4 separate regions of the Mus musculus genome follow, and all the other regions are reported to be linked to region 3. The links are microRNA targets in miRTarBase. Many come from high-throughput screens and were not tested one by one. Region 3 holds a microRNA gene; each other region holds the end of a gene's coding sequence.

What was found. Region 3 holds the annotated microRNA mmu-miR-568 (AUGUAUAAAUGUAUACACAC, at 4,959-4,978, shown strand). A microRNA usually pairs through its seed, bases 2 to 8, with sites in the 3' UTR of a target mRNA and lowers its output. Matches are read on the target gene's strand: a 7mer-m8 pairs with bases 2 to 8, a 7mer-A1 pairs with bases 2 to 7 and ends in A, and an 8mer does both.
Region 1: the mRNA of Psd2 is a reported target of mmu-miR-568. Seed matches in the 3' UTR shown: 7mer-m8 at 5,984-5,990.
Region 2: the mRNA of Pax3 is a reported target of mmu-miR-568. Seed matches in the 3' UTR shown: 8mer at 4,806-4,813.
Region 4: miRTarBase lists Myo7a as a target of mmu-miR-568. The part of its 3' UTR that is shown has no 7-base or 8-base seed match.

What each region holds. Positions count from the first base shown.
Region 1 is chr18:36,012,278-36,019,398 of GRCm38, reverse strand. It overlaps Psd2 (pleckstrin and Sec7 domain containing 2), which reads right to left. Exons shown (of 15, transcript NM_028707.4): 15 at 4,684-6,760. The coding sequence ends at 6,551. It overlaps Nrg2 (neuregulin 2), which reads left to right. Exons shown (of 11, transcript NM_001382420.1): 11 at 717-4,818. The coding sequence ends at 1,485. Among named protein-coding and RNA genes, the nearest start is that of Psd2, 51 kb to the right of the region's middle.
Region 2 is chr1:78,096,852-78,103,972 of GRCm38, forward strand. Pax3 (paired box 3) reads right to left here. Exons shown (of 8, transcript NM_008781.4): 8 at 4,416-6,723. The coding sequence ends at 6,457. Among named protein-coding and RNA genes, the nearest start is that of Pax3, 97 kb to the right of the region's middle.
Region 3 is chr16:43,635,707-43,642,827 of GRCm38, forward strand. It overlaps Mir568 (microRNA 568), which reads left to right and starts at 4,949; the gene lies at 4,949-5,031. It also overlaps a transcript of Tigit not described here.
Region 4 is chr7:98,045,023-98,052,143 of GRCm38, reverse strand. It overlaps Myo7a (myosin VIIA), which reads left to right. Exons shown (of 49, transcript NM_008663.2): 49 at 428-1,084. The coding sequence ends at 517. Gdpd4 (glycerophosphodiester phosphodiesterase domain containing 4) reads right to left here. Exons shown (of 18, transcript NM_177696.3): 18 at 2,481-3,570. The coding sequence ends at 3,533. Among named protein-coding and RNA genes, the nearest start is that of Myo7a, 71 kb to the left of the region's middle.

The DNA of each region.
Region 1 (7,121 bases), not on the chromosome of region 3:
GCCCTGGCTTGAGGTGCCTACCCCGTGTCACTTCCCTGTGGTAGCCTTTGGATACAAGAAGGCATGTTCCCCTCACTCAAGCCAAGCCAGGGAATAAACTGTCACTGCAAGAGCAGTGAGCTCAAATCCAGGTAGTCTCTGAATGGTGGCTAGTGGTTCCTGGAATTAAGCATACTATTCTCTGCCTAACCTGGATTCGAATCCCAGGGACAGGTACCCAGGATTCACACTGGGAGGTATTAGCAAGAAACAGGCCTTCAAGGACCTGGGGATCATCGGCTCTAAGATGAGACACCTAGTGGTGGAGGAAGGAGTTAGTTGATTCAGAAAGAATGAAACAGACCTACCACATTTTGGTCATTCAGTCCTTGGCACTTCAAGTCTGGGTCCCCTTTTTCCTATATGTAGTATAGCCCTCACCCACAGATGCTACAGAATAGATGAGACCACACATAAAACACTCCAACCTGAGCGTGCCTCGGAGACTGTGAACGTCCCTACAGTACTCCCCTAGTACATTTCTGAAATTCTCCAGCATCATACTGGAGTAAACACTACATTCATCTGTGCTTAACAGATAAGAAAAGGCTGGGAGGTTCATGGAAACTAAACGTGGTCAGAGCCACGGCTCTCACTCTTATGGACACTTTCTGGTTGGAATCTCTGGTGAACACCAGCACTGCACCCTGACTCCCGACCCTCTGTCTCTCCCACAGGTACGTGTCAGCCTTGACCACGCCCGCTCGCCTCTCGCCCGTGGACTTCCACTACTCGCTGGCCACGCAGGTGCCGACTTTCGAGATCACGTCGCCCAACTCTGCGCATGCCGTGTCGCTGCCGCCCGCCGCGCCCATCAGCTACCGCCTGGCGGAGCAGCAGCCGCTCCTGCGGCATCCAGCGCCGCCCGGCCCGGGGCCGGGGTCGGGGCCCGGAGCGGACATGCAGCGCAGCTACGACAGCTACTACTACCCTGCGGCGGGGCCCGGGCCGCGGCGCAGCGCCTGCGCGCTGGGAGGCAGCTTGGGCAGCCTGCCCGCCAGCCCCTTCCGCATCCCGGAGGACGACGAGTACGAGACCACGCAGGAGTGCGCGCCCCCGCCGCCGCCGCGGCCGCGCACGCGCGGCGCGTCCCGCAGGACGTCGGCGGGGCCGCGGCGCTGGCGGCGCTCCCGGCTCAACGGGTTGGCGGCGCAGCGCGCACGCGCGGCGCGGGACTCGCTGTCATTGAGCAGCGGTTCGGGCTGCGGCTCGGCGTCGGCCTCGGACGACGACGCGGACGACGCGGACGGGGCGCTGGCGGCCGAGAGCACGCCATTCCTCGGCCTGCGAGCGGCGCACGACGCGTTGCGCTCGGACTCGCCGCCGCTGTGCCCCGCGGCCGACAGCAGGACTTACTACTCCCTGGACAGCCACAGCACGCGCGCCAGCAGCAGACACAGCCGGGGGCCGCCCACGAGGGCCAAGCAGGACTCGGGGCCCCTCTAAGGCCCCCCGCCTCGCCCGCCCCACGTCTCCAAGGAGAGCGGAGACCACCGACTGGAGAGGGAAAAGGAGCGAACAAAGAAATAAAAATATTTTTATTTTCTATAAAAGGAAAAAAGTATAACAAAATGTTTTATTTTCATTTTAGCAAAAAAAATTGTCTTATAATACTAGCTAACGGCAAAGACGTTTTTATAGGGAAACTATTTATATGTAACATCCTGATTTACAGCTTCGGAAAAAAAAAAAGAAACAACAAAAAAAAAAATAAGAGAGATGGGCCAATTTTTTGACTCTTTAATAGAAACCTATATTGTGGTGCCTTTTGCTGTACGCTAATCTGGGGCTCCTGGAGAGCCGTCTGGGGTGCAGTGTGAGGGTGGGCGCTTGTAGGATCCCAAACTGGTGGGGGTGAGAAAGGGCAGGGAAAGAAGAGACTGTGAGGTTCTAATGGCTCTGAGGAAAGTGGACAATGAGGAAGAAAATGAAGATAAGATGTAATTGTATTTTCCCCAGTCCTGAGCAGAGAAGGCAGGGATGTTAGCCTTAGAGCTGGAATTGAGATTGGGTTATCTCCAAGGACACTGGCCTCCCCGCTACAGCAACTAGAATGGGGAAGGGTCCTCCCCAGCCCTCACAGCTGCTAAGGGAAAGAGGACAGAGAAGGCTGTCTCCCCACCAGCCCCCTGCCGAGGGAGGGGGCAGCTCTACCAGGGGCCCAACCTTCAGGGCTCCTCCTCCCTGGCGGCCTCCAGGACATCCTCTGTCCTCTGCAGCGCCTTCGTTTACAGGTCGTCTTTTCTATTTTACGCCTGCATGTCCTTTGCATTTCGGATTCTTTAGATTGAATGCATGGTCACGCTGGGACCCAGAAGAGCCACTCCGACAGTGTATTCGATTCCCCTTTTAGCAATAAAGTAACACCATGTCCTTCTCACAGCCCAGCTCCCAACCCACCTATGACTTCCATCTTCCAATCCTGCCCTCCCCAGCCAGCCCTCACAACTGGATCCAATGCTAATTTGTCAAAAAAGGCAATTGTCTAAAAAGCAAACAAAAATCCCAAACAGAAACAAATGGGAACCCTGACATGTCCGAACACCTGACTGTTGACACTTGAACATTTTTATATTATAAATAAAATCAGAAATAACTCCTGTTTGACTGTGTGTACCTAGGTGAGGAGGGAAGCTAGGAGGGCCTAGGATGAGGCACATGGGTACTGGGAGGAAGATTGGATAGGGCCAAGATAGTCCCTGAGCGGAAGTGACCCTCTCTCCAGTCCCTCTGGCCCCAGCTCCCAGGACCTGCTCCAAGTCTTTCTTCCAAATCATTCATAAGGTGTCCCCCTGGGTGCTAAGGAACCCAGCCAAGGGACTGACGCAAATCGTTCCGCTTTAAACGCAGCCTCAGAACTCTGGCCCAGTTCCTGCCCTGCAGCTAGGAAGCTGGACTAGGGCAACAGTTTTTTGCCCAGGTGGGTGAAGAGGGAAGGGTTGTGGGGTTGGCACTGGGGCTGCGGAGGCAAAGATGACCCTTGGGGCTTCAGGCTCGTCACAGGCAGAGTCTGGACATGTAAGACAACATAATAGGTCCCCTCATTGCCAGGAGGACCAGAACTGCTCCTGAGCCCACAGGGTACTGCTCCTTCCCCAATTGTATATGCTCTCCCCACACCAGAGCCAGGGCCTGTCTAAACCTGCGGCTCTGATGAAGGTCTAATCTCAGGCATGGAGGAGGCAGATAGAGTCCAGGGTAAACAGTCTTTCCCATCAGCTCCCTAGAATACCAGGAACCAAGATGCCAGCCAGAACCTAAAGCCTTCCTGGGTGAATGTGTGCGCATGTGTATGCTTATACAAATTCTTGAAAGTTGCAGCGTGGATCTAGACAGATACTCGCAGAGGAGTGAGACAGAGAGGCATAGTGCGACAATAGGTTCTGAGTCCGGGTGCCACCTGTCCCTCTCTAGCTATGTGGCTTCTCCAGGCCACGGTTTGCTTAGTGAGAAATGAGGAAGCAGTCGCTTACCTCAGCGAGTGACTGTGGAGGTTACATGCAGATGGACCCGGCACTCTTCCTGATTGATATCTAGTCTTGATGGTCGCGGAGACGGAATCCTGTGTCTTGTAACCATGAGTCACAAAGTGGTAAAAACTCAATGAGGTGATTAAGAAAAGTCTAAACTTTTATAAAGTTGTTATATTCATTAAAGGGTGCTGAGGGGCACTTATTACAAAGGGAAAAGATGAAAGAGAACCTTCTAGACTGAATGTTACACAAACCTGTAGATCACGCCCAGGCCTCACCAGATGACCCTGTGGTCTGTTTGCTTTCTTAGGGTACTAATCCTTACGTGTGACCTCTGATCTCTATGGGACCCCAGATTAAATGCTCTGACCTCTTGTTGAGCCCACTGATCTCATTACGATCTAATTCAGTGTCCTCACGTAAACTGTGTGGGCCGGGTTTGTTACCTTCTATGTTTACATCCAGAAACCACCTGTAAGACTCAAGTGACCTCGTCAATGAACCTGTACATGACCCCATCTCATTCCCTCATCATCTGCCCTATCTTCTAAGATACCCCACCAAGAGTCCAAGGCCAGAACTTAACCTCGCTCTTCAGTGCTCCCTTGATTGCATTAGCCCGTCTTCATTGGACAGGTATGGTTGGGACCTGGAGCGTGCTTGACCAGAGAGCCCTCTTGATCACCCTGACTCTCAGGGTTTAGCCTTCGGGACGTTGAGTGTGTGGCTTCCCAGGAAGTCACTTCAGGCAACTTCCCTTCTGCCACCCTGTCCCCTGGGACACTCAGGACACTCGGGCAGCTTCCAAGGTCAAAGTTCTATCCCCTGCTCCCCAAGTTCTTTCTCTACTTTGCATTATCACTTTTAGTGTCTTCCCAGTCCCTCTGAGTCCTCAGTGGCCATGGTAACCACTTCTCCCCTAGTCTCCCTCCTAACGGTGAGACCCGTGAACACAGGGAACTGGCCTCTTTTACCACTGTCCCTAGCACACAGCAACAGTGTATGGCACATGGTTGACCCTCACGGAAGAGGGTGAAGGCTATTTGTCAAGAATTAGGCACCAGGAGTTCCTGAGCCCTGGAGCAAACCTCCCAGGACCTGTCCTTGTGGGCTTGTTAGGGGTGACAGGAAAGAGGAACATGATGGTCTATTAGAATGCAGGAAAAAAATATTAGAACTTTGATTTAGATTTATTTTCATCTCATCTTTTTTAAATTTCTATTTTTGTGTATGTTTTATAATGTACATAATATTTTAGTACAGTAGTACATGTATATAATTTACAAATAAAGAATTATACAATTAAGGAAGCGAACTAAAAAATGTCTTTACTGATGGGAGGCACAACTAGTGCTTGGGGAATCACGCGTGTCTGAGGCTAAAGAACTTCACCTCTACTGTCCCCCACCCATGACACAGAGAGTGGGACACTGGCTGGAAAATCAAAGGACTTTCAGGCAGCTGGACAAAGAACTGAGATCTCTTTGCTGCCCCCTAAATTGCCTTTCTGATCTCATTCAAACGAGCATTTGTTTCCCCTGAGCAAAACAAAGGGGCCAGATGGTTTGGTTATCAAACGCACTTCAGCTAATCCAATTTAAGCAATTTGGATTTCAACCCCACTACACCTCTCCACAAACTCCCAGCTCCCTGCATCAGATGGGAGTGGATTTGAAGTGATAAGCACTTAGTTGCAAAGATTATGTCACCCAAGACTGCAAACCGTTGGCCAAACAATAGGCAAGATTGGCTCGTGGTAGCTGTGTCAAGGGGGCCTATCCCCGAGACTCACTTGTTGCTCTAAGTGATGCGGTGTTCAAAGGATGTCAACCCGTGAGAGACATGTGTCTCGACTCTCAACTGGGTCCTTAGCTTAGGCTTTCTGATTTGCTAGGAAAAGGAAAGGATTATCACTAATCAAAACCTTGTCACTCTACCTTCTCCCCGAGACCACAAACTAACAGCTTCCTTAACCCTACTCTACCGCCCAGCCTGGGCTTGCCGGAGGATGACGCTCAGCTAGGTAGTGTCCTTCCTTACTGCCAGGAGGTCTGTGCAGAGGGCATCACTGGAGCTCGGAGACCTTGGCAGTATTCACAAGAAGATCAAAAGCAAACAGAGGTGTGCCCCCAAGGCACTCAACCCACAGGACACCCCTGGGACAGAGGAGGTGACACACACGCAGGCATCCTGTCCAGTCCAAAAGCATCAACTGGAAAAGTGATTGTGAGTCACAAGTCAGCCGGAAAAGGAAAAGGCAAAAACACAGAGGGTCTTCATCCTCCCATCCAGTGTCAGAGCAGTGCAGGGCCCCCTGCAGGCTTCCTCCATAGCAGGCCAGGCTCCAAGTCAGGAGTTTTCCTTTTTCTGGTTTCACCCTCTAGTCGGTAGTAGTTTCCAACCCTTCTTTAAATGAGTACTTTACATATATATATATATTGTGTGTGTGTGTGTGTGTGTGTGTGTGTGTCTGTATAAAAAAGAGGCTGGAGAGGCCTCAGGGGATGAAAGGAGAAAGGGGACACACGCATGTGTGGAATCAGCTTGGCACTGAGTGGAGGTTAGGCCCCAGATTATTGCAACGTGAGGCAGGAGAACTGGGCCGGTTGCAAAGGTTGCTGGTGGTCCATAGACCTGCTGCTGGTCAACTGAGAGGAAAGAGGAGAAAGGGTGGATAGCCAAGCTGAAATCCAGAGTCCAGACCCACCCTCACAAATACAGGACGAGGGAGGAGCCTGATGAGAAGGGAGCCTGGGAAAGAGCAACAGTGACAGACTTGTCCAGCTCTAGAGCATGTCTGGCCCCATGACTGGAGGGCAGCAGGGCTAGGAGAGGGTCTAGGCCAGCGATGGTCCAGGATGCAAGAAGATCAGCGTCATGAGTGACATCTCCATCTCCTTGGGCACAGGGCTCTCCACACCCCTCTGGTTGCCTGTTAACTGCCTGGAGCTCGGTCCAAGCAATCCCTGGCTGGAATTGTGCTCACTGACCCCTCTGGGGACATTTGCCTGCCTCTAGGGCCTGCACAGCCACACTAGCTAAGTATCAGATGCAGAGGTATCCTTTGTGGCTTTGCTGCCAGTCACAGGCCCGTGGCCCAGGCTGAGGGCGGGGCTTGAGTGTGTTTTCCGGAGAGCTGGGTCATCCCCTTCTATAGTAGCCAGCCGTGCCTCAATCCGCTCCAGGTCATCTGAGCCCACTTTGATTTTCACGGCCAGGAGGTGAATATAGGTCTCATAACGGCTTTTCTGGGGAAAGGGAAGACAAAAGACAAAAGCAAAGTCAAACAAGATGCAACAAAATGGAGATAGGAGATTCGTCTTAAAAACCTAGTAACAAAGCACCAACCTCTGTGGCATTCCCCTGCATCAACAGCTCTTGCAATCAACAAAAGGAAATAAACCACCACCACTGCCCTCCCCCAAAATAGGCAGACACACACATCAATCTCACTGCCCTCCCCCAAAATAGGCAGACACACACATCAATCTCACTGCCCTCCCCCAAAATAGGCAGACACACACATCAATCTCACTGCCCTCCCCAAAAATAGGCAGACACACACATCAATCTCACGTATTGTTTTCTTGAGACATCATCTCACTATGT
Region 2 (7,121 bases), not on the chromosome of region 3:
TCAAAACTGTGTTTTCGTCATCTATATGTACAACTCTGAGCCCTTGGCTTTCCCTTCCCATCTTACAACCTAGAGACAGTTTGCATATGCATGCAGTGAGGACATTTGCAACTTGTCCCAAAGAAGAATGTAAAGTCGGACCTCAAAAAAAAAAAAAAAAAAAAAAAAAAAAAAAAGAAAATAGACAAACTTTCCCTTAAGTCAGCAAGGTTAAGTATAAAGATTGACAGGCAAGTCTTCACAACTGGATAACTGGTCTAAGAGTGGCTTGCGCTGGCCAGCCTGGAACATGAAGTGGAGGTGCAGAAGGATATTGCAGTGTTGCAAGCCCGTGACAGGGCTAGCATGTTGTAGCTTGGAGACCTCCAGCAGAGCCCTTCTTCAATGTAAGTGCAGCAGACCCACAGTGAGCCAGTGTCACATCTCCCATAGCTTTTGGGGTCACCATAAAGGTGATCATCACAGCACATATATGTCCCTTCCTATGTTTTAACGTCTGCCCTCAAGATCAAAGCGTTCAATAAGTCTTTAGAAAAGACGTTACTGCATCTGAGATCCTTGGAGTCCAAGTCACCATGGCTTTTCATAGCGGTCTGGCTGTAAACTCTCCTTACTAGCCAATGTGGAAGGCTCAGCCCCAGTCTGATCTCCCTGACTTCTTTTGCATGGAAATGCAGAAGCCAACCTGACATAAAAACAGAGCCTGCCCTTCGCCACTATATCTGCCCAAGTCATTTCTGATTTACCCTTAGACATCCAGCCTTCAGAACGGTTTCTCTGAGAAGCATTCCAGTGTTTACTGGAGTTTTAGCTTCTCCTTGGGACCTATATAAGGCACTGCTTACACCTTACTTGGTGTCTGAACCCTCCTTACTGACTGGGCTCATTCTATCCTGTAGTCTTCTGAAAGTAGGAACTGTCTTGTTTGTATTGAAGCCCTACCATCCAGCATGAACTAGGAGCTCAGTAAATATGCAATGTATTCATAAGTAATGGAAAGAAAGAAATCACAGCCTGTCTCCTGCAACATTCAAATAATAAAACAATCCATCACGGGCGGGAATCCTTCCTGAGTCTCAGGTATTGTATGAGTCCTGACCTACATGGAGTGGGGAAGCCAGATGAACAGGGCAATAGTGTGCTCAGAGCTCTCCAGAATGCCACAAGGTCACAAGAACTTGGAAAACAAAATGTCCCTACACATCTTGAGGAAGAAACCAAGCAGGACTGGTATCTAATGGATGAGCTTTGACAGCCTCTTGCTGAAGAGGCCATGGTGTGAAAACAACTCCCTTGACCATCCAACTGTACCACACATCTCACACACCATCACTGGACCATCTGAACCACCACACCCTGCTCTCTGACTTAAGAGGAGAAATGAAGGCAAGGACCCAATGGGGAAGGCTAGACTTGTGTGTCCCCATATTTCATTCAAAGTGACTTCTGAAGTGTGACAAGGTAAATGTACTTGGTGATATGTGGATGAAGCTTCAAGGCTCTATTGTGGTCAAAGATGGACCTAAAACCAATTCCTCCACCCCTCTGTGCGTGTGTGTGTGTGTGTGTGTGTGTGTGTGTGTGTGTGTGTGTGTGTGTGTTAAACTCAACAAATTTCCTGTTGGGCACTCAATGTCCATCAGAAACACTATAATAGGGGTTATACTGGCTTATTAGACCCCTTGTCTCCCACTGTTTCCCTTGGTCTTTGTACCAATCCAACCTCAGCCTTTGGTCATGCATGAATCAAATTTCCCCTTGTCTAGAGGTCAAGAGAAGAGTCGCTCTTCATTAGTTCTTCATTGATTCATTCCACAGGTGGGTTTGTGGTGTCTATTGTGGGTGAGACTTGGTTCTGAGCTCCTAGGATGAGCTCAGCAATACTGAGAAGACTCTGGAAAAGGCAAATGTGGCTTAGATCACAGCTGTTCTAGCGAGAAGCCCCAGACACACACTCTCTGCCATCACCTTCATACATCTCATCCAAAGCTAACCTTCAGGTCTGTCAGTGTTTGTCTACACCTAGGGTCTGTCATACATCCTGTCTCTTGACACTGGTGCTTTCTTGTTTGATATTAGATATATTTAACTATGAATTCTTGAACACCAAAAATGTTCGCTAACAATAACTAAGACCCAAATTCTTTTCTTTTTTCAGATTTATTTTATTTATATGAGTACACTGTAGCTGTCTTCAGACACACTAGAAGAGGGCATCAGATCTCATTACAGGTGGTTGTGAGCCACCATGTGGTTGCTGGGAATTGAACTCAGGACCTTTGGAAGAGCAGTCAGTGCTCTTACCCAATGAGCCATCTCTCCAGCCCAAGACCCAATTCTTTATCCCCAAAGTAAGTTTGCCTCTATAGAGACCCTGGCTCGGGTCCTGTGTGCTAATTTTAACTCAAACTGATACAGTGTGAGAACAGATTCTTCCGTCCATTATCCACACAGATCATGCATTTACCCATTCTCTTCTCCATTTCTAAACTCACAACCATGAGTAAGAAGCCTTGTCCATTTAAACATCCCTTTCACCTGTGCTTGAATATTTGTGTGTGTGTCTATGTGTATCTATCTCTGTGTGTGTGTGTGTGTGTGTGTGTGTAAATACACCAACAAACTGAGTTACAGGAATAAAATACTTGTGAAATATGATACCTATTCCTAGTGAAACTGCATAGGAATGACTCTTCGAGCTGACCATAGGATGGCCACAATCTGACAATCTTTTATTCTGGTTGTACTTTTTACTTTTAGCCTTTCAAAACGCACATGAATGGTGATATGATCAAGGAGGGAACTTCACATATAAACAGGATCAAGCTTAGTTAAATGTCAAGAGTTCAGAGCCCTTAGTGTGGCTTGTCCCAAAAGATGAGAGCTGGGACTCCAGCCCAGGGGAGGTCAGGCGTTCGATTTCTTGGAGATTGATTAGACGAAAAGAAAAATCAGAGCAAGAAAGATCTATGGAGACTTTGAACATGAGAACTGCCAACAGAGCAATAGTTTCGAAGACATCCAGAAATAAGAGAAGGGCATAAAGACATATATCAGAAGGAGAGCTGGGCCCCACATGGCAGGTCCTGGGGTCAGGAGGCAGGCAGGAGAGGGCCCTGGGAAGACCAGCTTCTGTTGTGAAATCCGAGTCCTGGCAGCATGTCTCCATGCACCGAGAAGGAATTACTTTTTTAAATGCCTGTTTTCAACTTGGGTTTTGGCACAAGACTCGTATAATGCAACGAGTATCTGAAGCAGCTTTTGGAGAGGTAAAATTATGTGGCCCCTACTCCGACGTTTGGTAGAAATTGAGCTTTGCTTTTGCTGCTCCTACGTGCGGTATGAGCCCAGCCTAACCTAACAACTCTGGACCTGGGTCCACTTGGCTGTAAAACAGAGCAAAAGACACTCACCTCACAGGAGTCCTGTGAGAACTGACAAAAAGCAAGTGTTTGGTGACAATTATCTTCCTTTTCTACAACTGTATTATTTAAATTTTAAAAAAAAGTAATTGTCAGAAAAAGAGCAACATGGTGGATCAGAAGGGCAAGTGGAAGCTGAAAAGAGTATAGGCATTTTTAAAATTTGGAAACTTTTACCTACTGTATATCATTTCCTCTGGATAGTTAAAATCCCATGTGTTTTAAATCAGCTGACCAACAGAACTCCCTACCACAACGTTCTAGAATGTTCTACATCAATGCTACCCAATACAGCAATTTCTTGCTACAGATGATTGTCACACAGTTGAAATGACATCACATGAGACATTGAGAGGAGTAAGTGAATACAAGAGTTTAGTAGGTGTTGATTAATCGCCTTATAATAAGTAACCATCCAAATGTATTGAAACAGAAGTTCAACCCCCTGACTCATCACGTTGTGCCGTCGCAATGCCAGTGTCTAGTGTTACACCTGCCACATCTAGACTCTCATGAAATAAGTGTGGGGAGGAATAGGGGAAGAAGAGAAGGAAAGGAAAACAATGACAGAAGTAGACTATTTCCTTCCAAGGCTGAAATGAGTTGCTAAAACAAAAGTCTTTAAAATAAAATTTTCAATGTGGAGAACTTTGGGAGATGAAGTTAGATCCTGGTGTACTGAGATACATATTTATAAATGAGGCTGAAAGGAATTGACATCTCCGAGAGAACCAAAGAAACCAAAGAGGGTAGATGGAGAGGGAGGGCGCACTTCTAGATTCCACATCCCTGATATTGTAAACTCAGTCCTGCAGAGTGTGTTTAAGCCAGCGTCTTGGGTTTATATGTAACTCTTGTCCATGTCACAGTCTCATGTACCAGGGACCAGGAGTAGGATGGGTCCACAGTGCCCAGCTTAGCCACCTTTCTCATTCACTCTGCATTCCATCCTCAGCACCCCCCCCCCCCCCACACACACACAAAAGCAGTGTTGGGCACATTTTCATTAACTGTTTATTCATTATAAATAGTAAATATTTACTGCACTTTTTACATGAAAGACATTTTTACAACACATCATTGTTGGTTGAGGCTGCAACACAAAGATACTATGTCTCCTGTTCCATCACCCTGCCCAACGTATAAAATAACTCAGTTCTATGTCTAGTCCTGCTAACACACTACCTCATTGTTCTTAAATCTAAAGGGAATGTATTTGTGCCTACCTCATTCATGGTTCCAAGAATAGAAAGAAATAAATAACAGCACCGCCCACCTTCATCTTTCTCTTAACATTTCAAAACACAGATTTATTGACATCCTAAATGTCACCACATGAATGTATGTAAACCTGTTCCCTATATCCTTTAATATTGGGTATCGTTGTATAATTTAAAAGTACATGAGAGCCACGTGGACATTTCTGTTCTAGCCCTGCCTTTTGTAGAAAAGAGACGAATGTAAACACCATCTCTGTAGAGAGCTTGATTCTCAGACATGGTCTCTGAACAAAAGGAACAAGCAGGATGTGAGTTGTTTGGCAACGAGCAAACATCACTGCACTCTACTACGATGAGTTATGGGCTGCAAAAATAAAAACACCTGCAAAAATATAGTTCTGATTTCATTTCTATCACCTTGGCCATTGCCAAAGCATCTGTGAGGTACACAGTATTGCACGCTGAGAAGCAGATATGTGATGGGTGTCACTTCCTCTACATCATACCCTTCCCCCCCCCCCACCAACTGGCCTCCAAATCAATGTGACTTGGGAAGTAAATGACATCCATCTATCCCCACAGCAGATAACACACTTTTTTCTCATTATCCCACATCTTTTTACAAGACATGTCAGGGACATCGGTTGATAACTAGGTTACAAATGAAGGTATGGTAATAATTTACTGGGGAGATCCTTCACATCTAGTCTAGTGCCCTATACAATGGTGGTGTTGGTTTTCATATCGGTTTCCAGTGTGTCAAAATCAAGGATTTCTCCATTCCCAATTCACTACATAAGCAGTGTGAATGTCATAAACTTGGTCAGCCTTAGACATCAAACCTGTTAACTTTCAGGAATTCAACTACAATATATGGGAACATTCTGCTTACTCAAACCACCCCGTGAAAATCAATCTCTCTCTCTCTCTCTCTCTCTCTCTCTCTCTCTCACACACACACACACACACACACACACACGGAATGTTTTAGCTTCTTTGATCAGCAACAAAGATTTGGGGCCATTTTGATATGTAGCCAGTTACATCACTGTCTTAAAAATGGTGCATTTTAGAGCTCTGGGTCTTCCTTGTCTCCCCTGCCTTTTGTCCAATATGTTCAAAGAATCTGAAAGCAACTACTGGAGAAAGAAAATCAATCTCTTTTGTCTCCACCTCCCCCAAAAGCTGAATTTTTTTTCATTTATTTTTTGTTTGTTTTTAAATTTTTTTTATTGTTTTGTTTCTGAGAAGATTCTTCATGTCTAGTCTGTGGAGGCCGGAAACAGGGCTCCAAGTGGACAGTTCACTTATGCAATATCTGGCTTGAGATAATGAAAGGCACCTGTAAGGAAACACACGCAGCTTTTTAGGTCATGCTGGGACAATTCACAGTTAGGGGCAAGATCAGCTACAGGCTGACAATGTCATATTTAATACCACGGTATCAAAGGATCGAGACTAATATTTTTATTCCTGAGACAAGTTTGACACAACTCTGTGTCCTGGGCTTATCCCCATATGATCCTGGCGCTGACCTCATTAAGAACATGTGTTTCTAATGCTAGAGGTTATTTCATTTTGGCCAACCTCTGTGTTTTACCTACTGACAATCCGGTTTTCCGTCCCAGCAATTAATAACTGCAAGATGTTATTGACATCAGTTAAGCAAATAATTACACAAGGGAGCCTGTGCTGTAGCAATCAGCTGTCTTTGCCACAAAAAAATGATACTGGGATGAAAGGCTTAAACATGCCTCCAGTTCCCCGTTCTCAAGCAAGAGGTGATCTCTCTCCCTTCCAGGAGGAACTACCCCCTAGAACGTCCAAGGCTTACTTTGTCCATACTGCCCATACTGGTAGCCTGTGACAGGGTCCATACTGTAGCCTGCGGTGCTATAGGTGGGGGGACAATAGGGCTGAGATGTGGGCAGACTGTCCACATTCTTCATATGTTCCAGTCTCTGACTGCAGCTGGCTGACACCGTGGTCGTGGGTTCCAGGCCCCCAGTGAGAGGGGAGAGAGCATAGTCGGTCTGAGGCTGGTGCGGTACCCCACCGTGGTTGGTCAGAAGTCCCATTACCTGCAATGATGACGGGCAGAGCAGAAGTTAAAATGTGGGCAGAAACAGATGGCAGCCCCAAAAACAGCGCAAGATCTTGAAAGGCCAACTTTTATGTCTCTAGACAGCCATTGAGGAGCTTTTCTGAAGGCTTTGACCCCAATTCAAAGTGGCAGCCACATGACCTCACCCAAGATAACATCTGACGGCAGTTTCAGCAAAAGGAAGGGGAGGGAGAAGGAAAAGAAGGAAGGAGAGGAAGAAGACAGGAGAAGGAGAGATTACACCGTGTCTGCTGTGATAACATCAGACTGGAATTTCAAAAGAAAAGCAAAGAAGCAACAGAGGGAGATGTTATATAAGTCTAGAGAGAAAACCATCTAATATAGTACATCTGGACACCCAAGTGATTATGTGTG
Region 3 (7,121 bases):
AGCTAGGAATATCTAGTAAAGAGCCTCTGCCTTGACAGTGTTGCTGGCCTTCTCTGTCCATCACGGGTGAACAACGAGGGGTAATAGGGAGACTAGACTGGCCCAGCTCTTATGGAAGCCAGAGTCTGGATTTCACACCTATAAGGAGATGACACCTATTTACCCAGAACACATAGTCTGCAGCTCATCTTAAAAGACGCTTAGGAACAAAAGGAAGTTCCTGTGTTACAGCAAACAGATGCGGTAGTACCCAAAGCTTACCTGTCTCTTCTCTCTCCTCTCTTCCGTCTTACTGCCATGTCCTCTCAACGAGACTTAAACTTCATCTCATGAATGGCACCAGAAGAACTATTTGACTCCTTGGCTTCTCTCTTTTTCAGTAGGCTGGTAGCTCATTCAAAATTAAAACCAAGCAAATACTATTAGTGGCTAGCCCCCTGAGGGCTGAACAATTTCCCAAGTGTCTTGATGATCCCAATATCTTGATAATCAACTCTGATAACTTGGAAGTTTTGGCTGGCTCAGACATCTGTCAACTTTATTTTCATTTTGTCTCCATTTCCATTTGAATCTTAAGTGAGAGTGGAAAGGTAGAATCATGGGAAAGATTGTGAGGCTGCAATTCTAGGGTAGAGTTTGTCAGAAGTTTGTATTATCCCAAATAGAAATTTCTATACTTACTTTCAATTTAATGTTACCCTGAATATAATTTCTATTACATTTATTGTTATTTTTATAAAAATAGAGTTCAATTACTATGTCTAGTTGAGTGCTCTCTTTTCTATTTTCCCACATGGATGCAGTACCAACCTGTTACCTAAATATCTTTTTATTATATTGTTAATATGTAATTCTACTGTAGACCAAAAATATAAAAACAAATTTGCTCATTTTAAACATATACAGACTCTAATGAGTAAAGATGAGGAGAAAAGACCAGAGAGCAGTGGTTGACTATGTTGTTAGAAATCAAAGAGTAGCCTTACCTATTTTTAACCAGTGCTTGCCGTCACACCATAGTTAGGACTATGTTAGCATGGCTTCTTCATGCTTACGTTCTGCAAGCCTTGTCTGTCTGTTTCCTTTGATGTGTTCGAGGTTGCACAATGATGCTATTGTTTTTTTCTTTTGGTAATGCCTGATTTTATTATAATGTACTTTATCAGTCATTTCCTTTAGAAGAATGAGGGGGAAAGTTTTATTTCTTCTTTTAATTTAAATTTTGTTTAATGCACTGGAAATAAAATTGGACACATTTCACTGTTTAAAAATCAGAAACGAAACAAAACAAAACCCCGAAGAAAAAACCAGCAAACAAGTAAGTAATAGGATACACACACATACAAAAAAGCTATGAAAAATATTCTGTTCATACAAAATATAGGCTATATCTCACATGAGAGATAAATACTGTCAAGTAATAAAAAGACATTGTCAACTACAGTGCTGAAAACTATAAGAGGAACCTAGGTGTACAGTGTGTGGGGAAAACTACGAATCCTTTCTGAGGCGAGATCTTTCCATTGTTCCAATAAAAACCTAAGCAAGTTGAATGTGGAAGTCGGTAAGTAGGGAGCACCCCGCCTTCTTTACACCAGCGGACCTCTGGGTTACTTTCTACCATGGGTCTCAGCCACATACACATACACACGCACGCACTCATGTGCACACACTCAATACTTGAGAAGGATTTGTGAAAATGTACATACCCAGTACACAGATGTACACAGTGCTCTGACAGCCCTCAAGCTCTTCTGAGGCTTAGCAGTGATGGGTCCACAACATGGAATACTGAAAGGGATTCACTGAGATCTACGTGTGCTAATAAAGTGCTTGAAGCCAGCCTGGTCTCTTCCCCAGCATCCCCTAGTCCAAGGCCAGCTGCCACACACACATGGACAGAGAAAGGCGAGACACCGGTTACTTCTCCTAGCCAACTGGCTCATTATTATTTGCTGAATATTTGCTGGATTTTTCTGGTTTTGTTCTGTTTTAGAATGGGGTGGGAGTGGATGTTATGTCACAATCCTAATACAGTAAAGTTTTGCATCTTCCATATCTTATGCAAAAACAGACATTTAAATCAATAAATAGTTGTGCCCTAGACTGAAAGTTAATGTTTAGGAGAGGGAAAAATTGTTGGAATTTTTTCTACATTTTTTTGTGAAGAATCTTTTTTGGAAAGGAAGGATACATATTTTTGTTGTGTAATATTTTCTATTTTTGAATGCATTTTATTGGTACAAGACTGTTTTTTTGGTGAAGACATTATTTAAAAAAAGAAAAAAAGAAAAAAACTAATCGAAAAGTTTGCCCTTAAGGATATGCTGCAGTTTTGAGATTAAAAAATAATAACTGATTCAAGATGCGTGTTAAAAGTTGGGATTATATTGTTGTTTTTGTAATTGTTACAAGAAGAAGTTTGTACCCACTGCTGTTTATTTTGTTTCAGATGAGTAAGTAAAGGGATTGTTCTTGTTTTATTCTTTTTTTAGAGAAAAAAGCTATTTATGAAATGTCAAAAACACTGGACTGTGAGTTTAAGTGTGGAAGCATTTTACCACCCTGTGTCTTCAACCAATTATGGGAAACCTTTTCTCTCCCCCCCTGCCTTAGCCTTGCCAAATGAGGAAAACGTAACAGCTCTCAGATGACGGAAGTCACCGAAGCCCTGCTTTAATTTTTATGGTCTGAAAAAGTCGGAAAACCAAAGTTAAATTTGTTTCTGAAATCCCGCTGTCTATAGCCCCTTTTTTGTACAACACAGCCGGCTGGCTCTGCCTCTCTATCTTGGATCATTGCCTTCTTAGGAACGTGGGGCCAGCTCTGCCAAGAGGCGTGAAGGTGGCGAGGTCACAGGAAGTGAGGTGTGAGGGGGACCCCTAGGGCCCCGGAGCTTCTCCATCCAGAGGCGAGGCTGCCAAGAGCACACACAGCTAACAGTGCCTGGCGGGGTCGCCCCTGTCCCCCTCACCTTCTGCTTCGAAGACCCTCCAGTTACCGTGGCTCTGCCTTTCTCAGCAGCCCACGTTCCGTGGATGGGAGGGGGTGGGATCCAAGCAGAAAACACGGCTGTGGGCGCTGCGAAGGCCCCGGCCCTCAGGAGGTAAAGCAAGGGACCACTCAGCACAAGGGCTCTTGCTGCCCGCCTCCTCTTTGACTCTGTGGATCGTCCATCCATCTGCTCACTGTGAAGATGGAGAGGCAGTGCGCCCTGAGGCTGTTCAATAGCTTTTCCATATTTTTTCAACATTGAAAAAATAATTTTTAAAAACTGTGATATTTAAAAAAAAAAAAATCATTTGGCTGGAGGGAAGGGAAAAGGGAAACACCAAAAGCTGTAACATGATTAACTGGAGATATTTATAACTGGGGCACTTTCCAGACCAAGACAAATGAATTGTTTTCTGGACCCGAAAGCAGCCAAATTTTAAGACTGTCAGTGACAAAAAGCTGAAGAGAGGCCTCCATTTCTCCTCCTTTCTTCTTTCTGTCCCAAATTCTCTCATTTTCTCTTCTAGCTTCTCTTGGTAACTGTCCAATGGACTTCATACTTCATGCAAAATCCCGCGCATGCACGCGAGCGCGCACGCATGCGCGTGTACACACACACACACACACACACACACACACACACACACACACAAGCAAAAAAAAAAACTATTTTTCTTAAGGATTGTGGGACTAAATTTAAAGTCATGTGCCTTCATTTTTTTCCCTTTTATAGTTAAATGAACCTCTTCCTTTTTTACAATGTGTTGGGTTTTGTTTTGTTTTTAGTAGAAGGGGAAGGTTAAAGTGTTTGTGGAAGAGAGGATTTTTAGGCATCAACTGGGAGATTTTTTTAGCATATTCCCCCACTAAATATTAAACACAAACATCTCAATCCCTCCACGTGTCACTGTGCACACTTAGAGCATCAAGGAATCAGAATCCGACAGCCTAATCCACTTGATTTTAGAGAAGTTCCTGAAATTTCTATTTCCTAGACTTTTTTATTGTTCTTATTTTATCACAGTGAGGTGAGCAAGGCAAGTTGCCTCGTTCTCCCAACTCGGTGCTTCTGCTTGTGGGGTGGGGGTGGGGCGGTATAGACAAGGGTGCACTCCTAAAGCTCTCTGGTGCTGAAGGGCCTCAAGGTTGAGTTTCTTTCAGAAAATGTGTATGGCACACTCTCAAGTGCACACGTGAACGGTGTCATGCGCACTATTTTTAAAGGACAAGGGAAGGGGCTCTGAAGTGGGTTTTGCTTTCTCTCATGACATTTGATTTCCCTGGTGCCTTATTCCTATTCTATGCTGGCACTCACATGCCCACAGGAACACACGCTGATGTCAGCCCCAGGAGTGAGGACCTCTAGGTGACAGTTGAGCATGTGGGGACCATCGGATATTGGGGTCAGTTGGTAGGGGAGGAACTAGATGGCTGAAAATACACAGGGACTGCACAAGCCCATCACAGTCAAGATTAGTAATGCTCATATGTGAGTATGTGCAATACATGCACACACAAACACACACACAGACACACACAGAGATGCACACACAAACACCAAATACACTCTTCTTCCTCTGAACATTGCTTCCTTCTTCATTTCCTGTCTTTGCCTTCTCATAAAGGTGCTGCTTGCTGCTGCTGCTGAGGTGCCCGGAGTCCAGAATGCCCAGTAATCACTCAGGCACAAGCCTGGCACTGCCACGTTCAGTCCTTGGCAAGACCAAACCCTGGTTTCTCTTGCCTGGGGCTGAAAACCGTCAGATTTTTCTCATCAAAAAAAAAAAAAAAAAGTTATCCAAGGAATCAGTGGATTATAGTTACTCTGCATTAAAAATGCACTTTAAAAATAAATAAAAGCTCCAGACTGTTTAAAACACACAGAGGGAACAGGAGAAAGATAAACGTGCTAGTGTCTGAACCCAGTTCAGCATATCTCCAGTTGAAACAGTATACACTATATTATGTATAAATGTATACACACTTCTATATATGTCCACATATATGCGGTGTGTGTATTATACAGGTATAGGTGTGTGTGCACGCACACAGGTGCACATAGCATATCAAGTGTTCATTACAAATCCAGATGCTCATTTCACAAACAGCAGCAGAGGAAACAAGGTTGGACTCTTGCAGCAGATCACAAAACAATAAAAACAGCCACTTGCGGTGACGCTGGTCACTGCTGTGTGTTCATAAGGAATGGATTGTAACAAAGGAAAACAAGGAGCAGTGTTAGCAATTGAGGAAAACTGGGACAGACCATCTTGATCCAATGGGAATGCAGTAATGTTCTCTACCATTTCATCCGTTCTTTCTGTTAGTCGTGACGATTTGATTTTCATTTTTGCCTATTAAAAATGGTTTAGATTCAAGTGACCACATCCAAGTGAACAAAACAACCACAGTGAAAGTCCTTTTCAGTAGGAAGATGTCAGAAAACTCAAAACCCTTGGCCTGGCTCAGAACTACCATGTGCAAACCAGAACTCTCTCAACGTTTGAAATAAAAACTTTAAAACTCTTTTTGAAGCACCTTAACGTGGCCATCCATTTGACAAGTGGGTGCCACCTTTTTCTTTGAGCACCTTATTGACGTATTTTGCTATCTGCTGTCTTCTGTTACTGTTGGCTGAATAGCTAGCTGTTAACACACACACATGTGCACAGACCAGACATCTGAGCATGCGTGTTCTCAATGACGTTTACCGTGGTGACTGCTGGAAGGTGAACTCATTTTCTGATTTGCCCACCACAGTGTTGTGATAAGACTCGAAGAAACCCTGCCCTGCACGGAAAAATGTCCCTTATCACGTTGTATATTAGGGTGGGAAGGAATATGGTCCCCTTTTTGCAATTGCTACTGTGTATACATACACATGCACACACACACACACACACACACACACACACACACACACACACACACACACTGTATATTCAGACATGATGTACACACACAAACATAACTCATTTGTCCAAGTGATATTTCAGATGTTTCTGTGGGTGTCACACACCATGTGCAGTTTTCCACTTCCCAGAGAATTTTGAGTGGAGGGTAACTTTTCAGACTGATGAACGGGGCACTGAGGAAGAGTTTGAAGTGGGAGGCAAGAAAGGAGAGAGCATTAAGTCAAAAGAATAATTTCCCAAGAGAAGCTGGAGGAATGGCTGTCCTTGCAGGTGGGTGTGGAACACTGCTGTCTCAGTCTGCACTGTAGAAATCCATGCACACATCAACACACACACACACACACACACACACACACATACACACATCCCCCCACAGGGGCGTGGTCTGGGATGAGCAGGTCAATAGTTTTGAGAGGGAGTTTGTTCCTTTTTTTTCTCTCATTATACTCTTGTCAGTTATTAAACAAACAAACAGAAAAAAATTGTTTTGAAAAACCTTGCGTACGCCTTTTCTATCAAGTGCTTTAAAATATAGACTAAATACACACATCCTGCCAGTTTTTCTTACAGTGACAGTACCCTTACCTGCCATTTAATATTAGCCTCGTATTTTTCTCACGTATATTTACCTGTGACTTGTATTTGTTATTTAAACAGGAAAAAATTTCAAAAAAAAGAAAAATTAACTGTAGCGCTTCATTATACTATTATATTATTATTATTGTGACATTTTGGAATACTGTGAAGTTTTATCTCTTGCATATACTTTATACAGAAGTATTACGCCTTAAAAATACGAAAATAAATTTTACAAGGTTTCTGTTTTGTGTGGAAGAGTAATTGATGTTGCTAAGAATGATGTTTGTTTTTTGGGGTTTTTGTTGTTTTTTTTTTTAAATGTTACCAGCACTTTTTTTGTAAGTTTCACTTTCTGAGGTATTGTACAAGTTCACACTGTTTGTGAAGTTTGAATATGAAGGAATAATTAAAAAAAAAAAAAAAAGCTCTTCTCTTGGTCTCCTCTCATGTTGTCCTTGTGGTGTGCCTGTCTTGGGCAGCTCTCTATGTTCCTTCGCACATGGAGGTCTATTGAGTCTGAGGTTGTCCAAATTGAGGACTATGCCCAGAAAGCCAGAGAAGTGCATCGGTCCTCTTGACACCAGAGGTAAGGAATTTAGGACCACTGATGGGAAATCACTTTGAGGATCTATA
Region 4 (7,121 bases), not on the chromosome of region 3:
TCCGTTAGAAGCCTAGTTTATTTAGGTCCGGGGAAAAATGGTCAGCTAGGGTGGAGGAAGAGAGCCATCATTCAGCTGTTGTTTTAGAATCTGGCTATTGATCCCATGGATGTGGGCCTTCAGCCCATGTGCACCAGAAGAGCCATTAGCAATGAGACCTTCAGCATGAGCCCAAACTCCCAAGGTGCAACTTAACTGGTAGTTTTTTGCAGTCACTCCTGCATTGAGGCCTCCAGGCTTAGAGGGACCACAAGCCTGGGGCTCAAGATAGCAAGATGAACCCAGCCACTTAAATGTGTAGATGGGGGCAGACTTGCTTTGTTTCTGTATTGTGCCCACTGAAGTATGTTCTGGGAGCCGTGTCTGTGTGTGAGGGGCTTGTGCGTTCCACTGTGGGCTCTGCTTATTTTCCTACCCCTGGTTTTAGGGATACAAAATGGATGATCTTCTGACTTCCTACATCAGCCAGATGCTCACAGCCATGAGCAAGCAGAGGAACTCCAGGAGTGGAAGGTGAACCTCAGAGGAGACGCTGGCTCAGGCCTTGGCCCTCTAGGCAGGGAAGCTGGACTGACCATATCTGCTGGGCATCTGATCTGCCTGCCACGAGGTCCAGACTCTTCTGCATCCACCTATGGCATCTGGGTTTGCTGTCACCCTACTTTGTTGTGGCCTTCCTGGTGTAAGAGTCTGTGTTCCTTGGTCACCTCTCCTGATTCAGACCAGCTCCATCAAGCAACCTCTTTTGACTTTCTGTATATGGATGGCACAGAGGAATCAAGGACAACTTAGCTCTCTGCATACTTGGAACAACCAAACTATTTGTACATTGAACGGATGCTCTGAAACCCAAGGGACTGGGCTCAGGGTCCTCAGCACTGGCCCCTGTCATAAGCACTACCACTAAGGACTCTCTGGAGGACTCCTCAGTATCATCTGCTCCAGGAAGCCCCCTAGACTACCTCCTGAGTCTGGACAAAGCCTCCTGATTCTACCTGGATCACTCCTGTTATGTGACAGTTATGTGGTGGGTCCCTGCTAAAATCTCCCTGACCACCTGAGGGCATAAAGCATGTGTCTTATTCTCTGGTCTCATGGTGATCTTTGCTGGGGAGACAATGTGGGATCGGGGTGCAGACCTGTAGGGGTGGTCTGTGAAGCTACTTTTTCTACCCGCCTGAGCAATATGCTTCCTTCACCTTGGGGTTTGGCATGCTTAGGCCAAGGCTTCCTTGAGTCTTAAAAGACCACTTGGGACAGAGGGGATGGGGGAAGTGATTGCCACTGGCCAGAGAGGGGAAGGCCCGAGCACATGTATACAAGTGTGTGTGTGTGTGTGTGTGTGTGTGTGTGTGTGTGTGTGTGTGTGTGTGTAACTAGGGCCAGTGGAGGCAGAATAGCCCTCCCATCTTGCCAGAAGCTTCTTCTCAGTTTATCAAGACATATCCAAGATTGCTAACACTTTCTTGGGTGAAATGCTGAGGTCTAGTGATAGTGCTTTGTGACCAGAATGAGACAGTGAAGTCTGGGGGTGGCTGGGTAGATCTGGGGCAGGGGCTTCAGATGGGATGGTGGCTGGAGTGATTAGCTACTGGTGTGACAAGTTGAGAATCCCTTTGAGATGGTAGTGTTTGGAACTTCCATCAGTATCTCCCCGAGACTTTACATTAAGCACCCAGGCTGCCACGTCTGTATGCCTGACCATCCCAGGGAGTGCTGTTCCTGACCAGTGCACTGCATGTGGAGGAGAGGGCAGCTGGTGTATACAAGCAGAGAACTCAAACCAAGCAGCCTTTTTCTATGGAATGGATGCCTTGGCTGTTGAGAAGGAGGGAAATGCCCTGTCCTATAACATTCGCATGGCTCCACAGTCAACTAGGATAAATCTGGTCCATGGAGAAGCTGATATAGAGAAGTTTGCTCTATATCTTCCTGCTGAGGGGAAGGGTGAGGTCCAGGAGGAGTGTGAATGGATTGTCGGGAGCCATTTTTGCCTGCTAGACAGGGTCAAAACAGGTCAGGGGTTGAGGGCAGACAGATAGCCCATTGACAGATCGTGCCCATTGACACATGGGACGATAGGAGGAGATACTTTGAGGGTTAAGGTGAGGGCTGAATGTTCTATTAACCTTGGTGGGAGGAACAGGGAAGTCTCCAGATGGGAACAGATATCCTGTGTATGTTAGCCACGGTTTCTGCTAGCTTGTGGTTTTGCTTCCCACTGCACTGTGGGGTATAAAAATGCTATTGAGCAATAAACTCAGAGCTGCAGTATTCACTGGAATATTTCTGAATCTATCTCTGTGTCTCCTTTCTGCCTTTGCTATTGTTAATCCTCACTCTCCACTCAGAGGTCTGTTTGACTCGTGCTGGCTGGCCTGGCACAATGGCGGAAAGAAACAGCATAGAACTCAACTCACTATTGCTAACACTGGGCTCCCAAACAGAGGGGACCAAATGATCGTTCTGAGTTCTGTTTTCCTGGTAAGGCCAAAGGCTATTTATTCAGTGAAATGAGACCGTGAATTGCAAACCCCAGGCATTAGGGAGCAACCCACTGCACACAGATCAGAAAACGAGGGTGGGATGCGAGCTCTGTCCTGGCTCATGTCTATGCCACCTCTTCTTCCCCAACTTAGGAAAATGTCACTGCTGCACCATCCCACAGTCTATGAGCCTAGGCGACCACAGAGGGGCAGAGAACACACTGGCTTCCTGAGAGGTTGCCTTTATTATAAGCTGACATGACTGGACACTCCTTCAGCAGGAAGTACAACAGAAGCATAAGATGAGACAGCCCTGCAACCTAGAGAGCACCAGCTCCAGGTCCATGACTGGGTACCACTGTTTGCCCTGGCCTGTCTCCTGAGGAGCATCCCGTAGAAGAGCTGGGCTAGAGAGCTGCTCCTGAAAGCCTCAGCGGTCTTGGCGTGAGCCTTCTTGACCACACCCTACCATCACCATACTTAGGTTCAGAGAGGAGGAGAAGAGGGCAAGGTGAGGCTAAATTTTCTCCAGTGGGAGAAGGAAGACATAATTGAGGAGGAATATGCCATGTTAACAGATTCCTGGGGAGGGATTTAGTTTACAGGGGTCATAGTGTTTGTTGTTCAGCAAGGAGTGTGCCTAGTGATTCCCTAATTGGGAACTTGGAGGTTTGATGTTCTCTATAGGAACTCTGGTTGTTTGATATTCCCCTTAGGAGGCATGGCACTGTTGAGGGGAGCATTAGTGATCTCACACCCCTCTTAGGACACTTTGGTGGTTCAAGGTTCCTTTTGGAAGCTTTGACAGAGCATTGTCATCTTTGGGGAATCCTTGAGGTATAGTATTCTCTTTGGGGTTACTGGTGGTATGACACTAATAACTCCCTTGGGGTGATACTGGTGGCTTGGTATTCTTCTTGGCAAGTCCTAGTAGAACGATTCTCTCACTGGAGGAAATCTGGTGGTTTGAGAGCCTCATGTGTCAGGACTGCCGTGAAATGGAGAGTTTCAATATCTCAGAAGGCTGGAGTCTGGCCAGAGTTTTCCTATAAGTTTTCTGTTTTAGGCTCTGTTTTCTGAAGTTCTGTGGGAGAGAGAAAAGATAAACACAGATTTCTCAACTGTCACTCTCCATACTTTTGTTTACTCTATGGCGAGCTCACAGTCATCGCTTGTATGTTAGTACTGATTCCAGCTCACCGCTGACTTACTCTAGACTTTCCACCCTTACACAATTCTATGCAAACCTTACAGATAACCCTCCAGTCCATCCCTCCAGGACACACAAAAGTGGCTGTGTGATCCAAGGGTGCTCAGTAGGCAGTGACTGACATTGTCTTCACGTGGTCAGCTGTGATGTCATGCCCCTCGATTCCCGGCAGGATTACAAGCTAGAGGCCAGCCTGGGCTTCAGGGCGAGTTCCTGTTTCAACCTACCCCTCAAAAGTGAACACTTTCCCCCACCAGAATGGGAGTTTCTTGGGGGGACTTTGACTCATTTGCTATCATGTTCCCAATACCCAGAAAAATGTCACATACTAGAGGCCTAATATACCCTACTACCTTGTTGGTGGAAAAACTGGCAGGTGGGGGAGCTAGGGAATTCAGATCCACCTTCAGGTAGAAAATCAACTTTAAAAGTAGGTAAAGTACAATGAAAAAAATTTATTACAGTTATTTGAGAGTTAAAAAAAATATAGTGAGGAATTATGGGACCCAAATAAAGAATGTAATAACTCAAGGAAGGAAGGTTATCCCAACTGTATGTTTCCTGAAAAACACTCATTTTAGATATTAAAAACATAAATAGTGGTAAATGTTTTTAAAAGGTAGGTCATACCCAACACTAGAGAAAAGTCAGGGTTTCTATTAATATTATACCAAATAGAGTTAAGAATCATACTATTATCCAAAATAATAAAGGTTTTACTATTGACTTAATTAACATTCATAGTATACTCTATCCAATTACAGAACGTGCTATTTACATATACACATGGGGAAATTACAAAGATGGGCTATATTATAGGTATAAAATAGTCACCGTAAATACAAAGGGACTGATAATCATTCCAATTATAGTCTCTGGAAATAGGAATTTAAAGTAGAAAACAATAGCAATATTGATGGAGAAGTTGGAGCTGTGGGTCTAGCTCAGGAATAGAACGTAAGCTTAGCAAGTAAAACAAACAGACAGACAAACAAACAAACAAACAAACAAACCCTGAGCTCCACTCCCAGCCTCCACTAAGAATTCCCCCAAAGACATCTGGAAAATCCCCTAATATTTGGAACAAACAAGTTCAGTTTCTCAGTTATCAAAATAGTATAGGGTATACAGTAGCAATTCAATACATGTATGTAGTATGTAATGATCAGATCATAGTAACTACCATATCTAGTTCCTCAGGTATAATTCATTTTTGCATATATTTTATTTATTTGACAATTTCATTCATGTATACAAAGTATCTTAATCATATTCAACCCAAATTCTCTCTGTGACTCCTGTCAGACCCTCTGCAATACTTGTTTCTCTCTTAATGTCCTATTAAAAAAAAGAACCCATTGAGTCCATTTGGTCTTGCCTGTGTGTGCAAGGGTGTGGGGCCATTCTATAGAGCATGGGCACCCTCTCTGAGATCACACCTCTGTCCCCAGCAGCCATCAATTGTCACCACCTCCTCAGCTGTGAGGAGAGCCACCTAAGTCCCTCCTCTGTGTGTTGGAATGTTTACTGACCACCTTGATCTTGTGTAGGTCTCTTACAAGGCAATAGCTACTGGGGTCCAGAAGGCAGCATTCACAGCCCTCCTCCCCATCCTTTGCCTCTTACAGTCTTCCTACCCTTCTTCACTGATGGTTCTGAGTCTTGAGGGGAGTGGAAATAAATGTCTCATTAAGGGATAATCATAAATAGTTAATTATTCTCAGCACTTCAGCCAGTTTTGTGTCTCTGCATTTACTGCTCCCCTTCGCAAAAAGGAACTCCTGTGGCCCAGGCAGAGGATGGCACTAGTCTAGGGATATAAATGGAAATATTTAGAAGAACGCTTGACAACATATCTAACTAGGGAAACAATGGTCGTATGTTCCTCCTTTGATCCCATAAACCCTCAGACATAGGCTTTTGGCCAAGTTTATAGTTGCAGGTGCTTATTTTCTTATGTGGAGGAGGCCTCCAGTGCAGTCTCAGGGCAGCTGGTTACACCAATATGAATTTATGCTAGCCAGGGATATTGGTGTGTTGAATTTTTGTTGTTGTTGTTGTTGTAGCCCTGTCTAGCTTTGGATGCAGAGTAGTGCTGGCCTCTTAGAATGAGTTTGGAACGGCTCCCTCCCTTTCAATTTACTGGAATAGTCTGTAAAGACGTTGTATTAGTTCTATGGAAGTTTGGTGAAATTCAAAAGTAAAACCATTCAGACGCTGACTTTTGTTTGTTTGTTTGTTTGTTTGGACATGGAATGGTTAATCTCTACTCTCAGCTTTGACCTTGGAAGCACACATCTGGGTGTGTTTGTCATCTAAATTAGGTTAAACGAGGCAGGAAGACCTACCCTAAATGTGGGTGGTACCATGGGCTGGAGGCCAGCCGGCAAAACCAGGAGGAAGCTACCCGAACACTAGAACTATCATAACTGCTTCCTAACGGCCATGCAATGCGACCAGCTGCCTCAGACTCCAGTCACCACCCCTTCCCTGCCAACACCCACGGAATCCCTTGAACCCATGAGCTGAAATAAACCCTTCCTCCATTATAGGGCTTTGTTCTGTTAGACATTTAGTCACAGCAACTAGAGAGTTAATACAAGAGACTGACCCTTCCAACTAAATCCCATGACTCACTGTTGTTCCTGGTTTTCTGTGTCCTCATGGTTCAGTCTTAGTGGGTCCTTATGTCTAGAAGTCTGTTTCTTCCAGGCTTCCGGTTTGTTCCATGTAATTGTTCATTACTGCTCCAGTGGTCCCTTTCTTTCTCTGGTGCTAAGTTACGATGTTTAACAATGCCCACTGCTATATTTAAAAATTGGGTCTTTTATCTTTTCAATAAGCTAATTTAAGCTCCCTGACTATTTATATCTTTTAGTCTCAATTCTATTCTGATCTTTGTAATTTCTTGTCTTCTACTTTGCTAAATTTAAAATTTGGGTCTTTTATCTTTTCAAGAAGCTAATTCGAGCTTCCTGACTATTTATATATTTTAGTCTCAATTCTGTTCTGATCTTTGTAATTTCTTATCTTCTACTAACTTTAGGTTTGCTTTGTTATAGTTTTTCTAATGTCTTGAGTTTCAGCAAATAGGTTTTTATTTGTACTCTTTCTCTTTTGAAATGTGGCTATTGCTTTCTTCAAAATCCCCGCAGCACTGGCTCTGCTACACTCATGTGTTTGTTTTCATTGTTGTCTCCAGTTTCAAATCTTTCTCTTTTGGTTTCCTCAGTAATTGACTTGGTAGCATGTTGTTTCGTTCCCATGATTTGTATTTGTACCATATCTAAAAACCCTCTTGTTAATTACAGGTTTTATTGAGGCCAAGAAAAATATATGCTATGACTTCAATTTTTAAATTTTGCTGAGACTTGTTTTGTATGAGCTATCCTGGAAAATGTTCTCTGTGTGTGGATAAAAGGAAA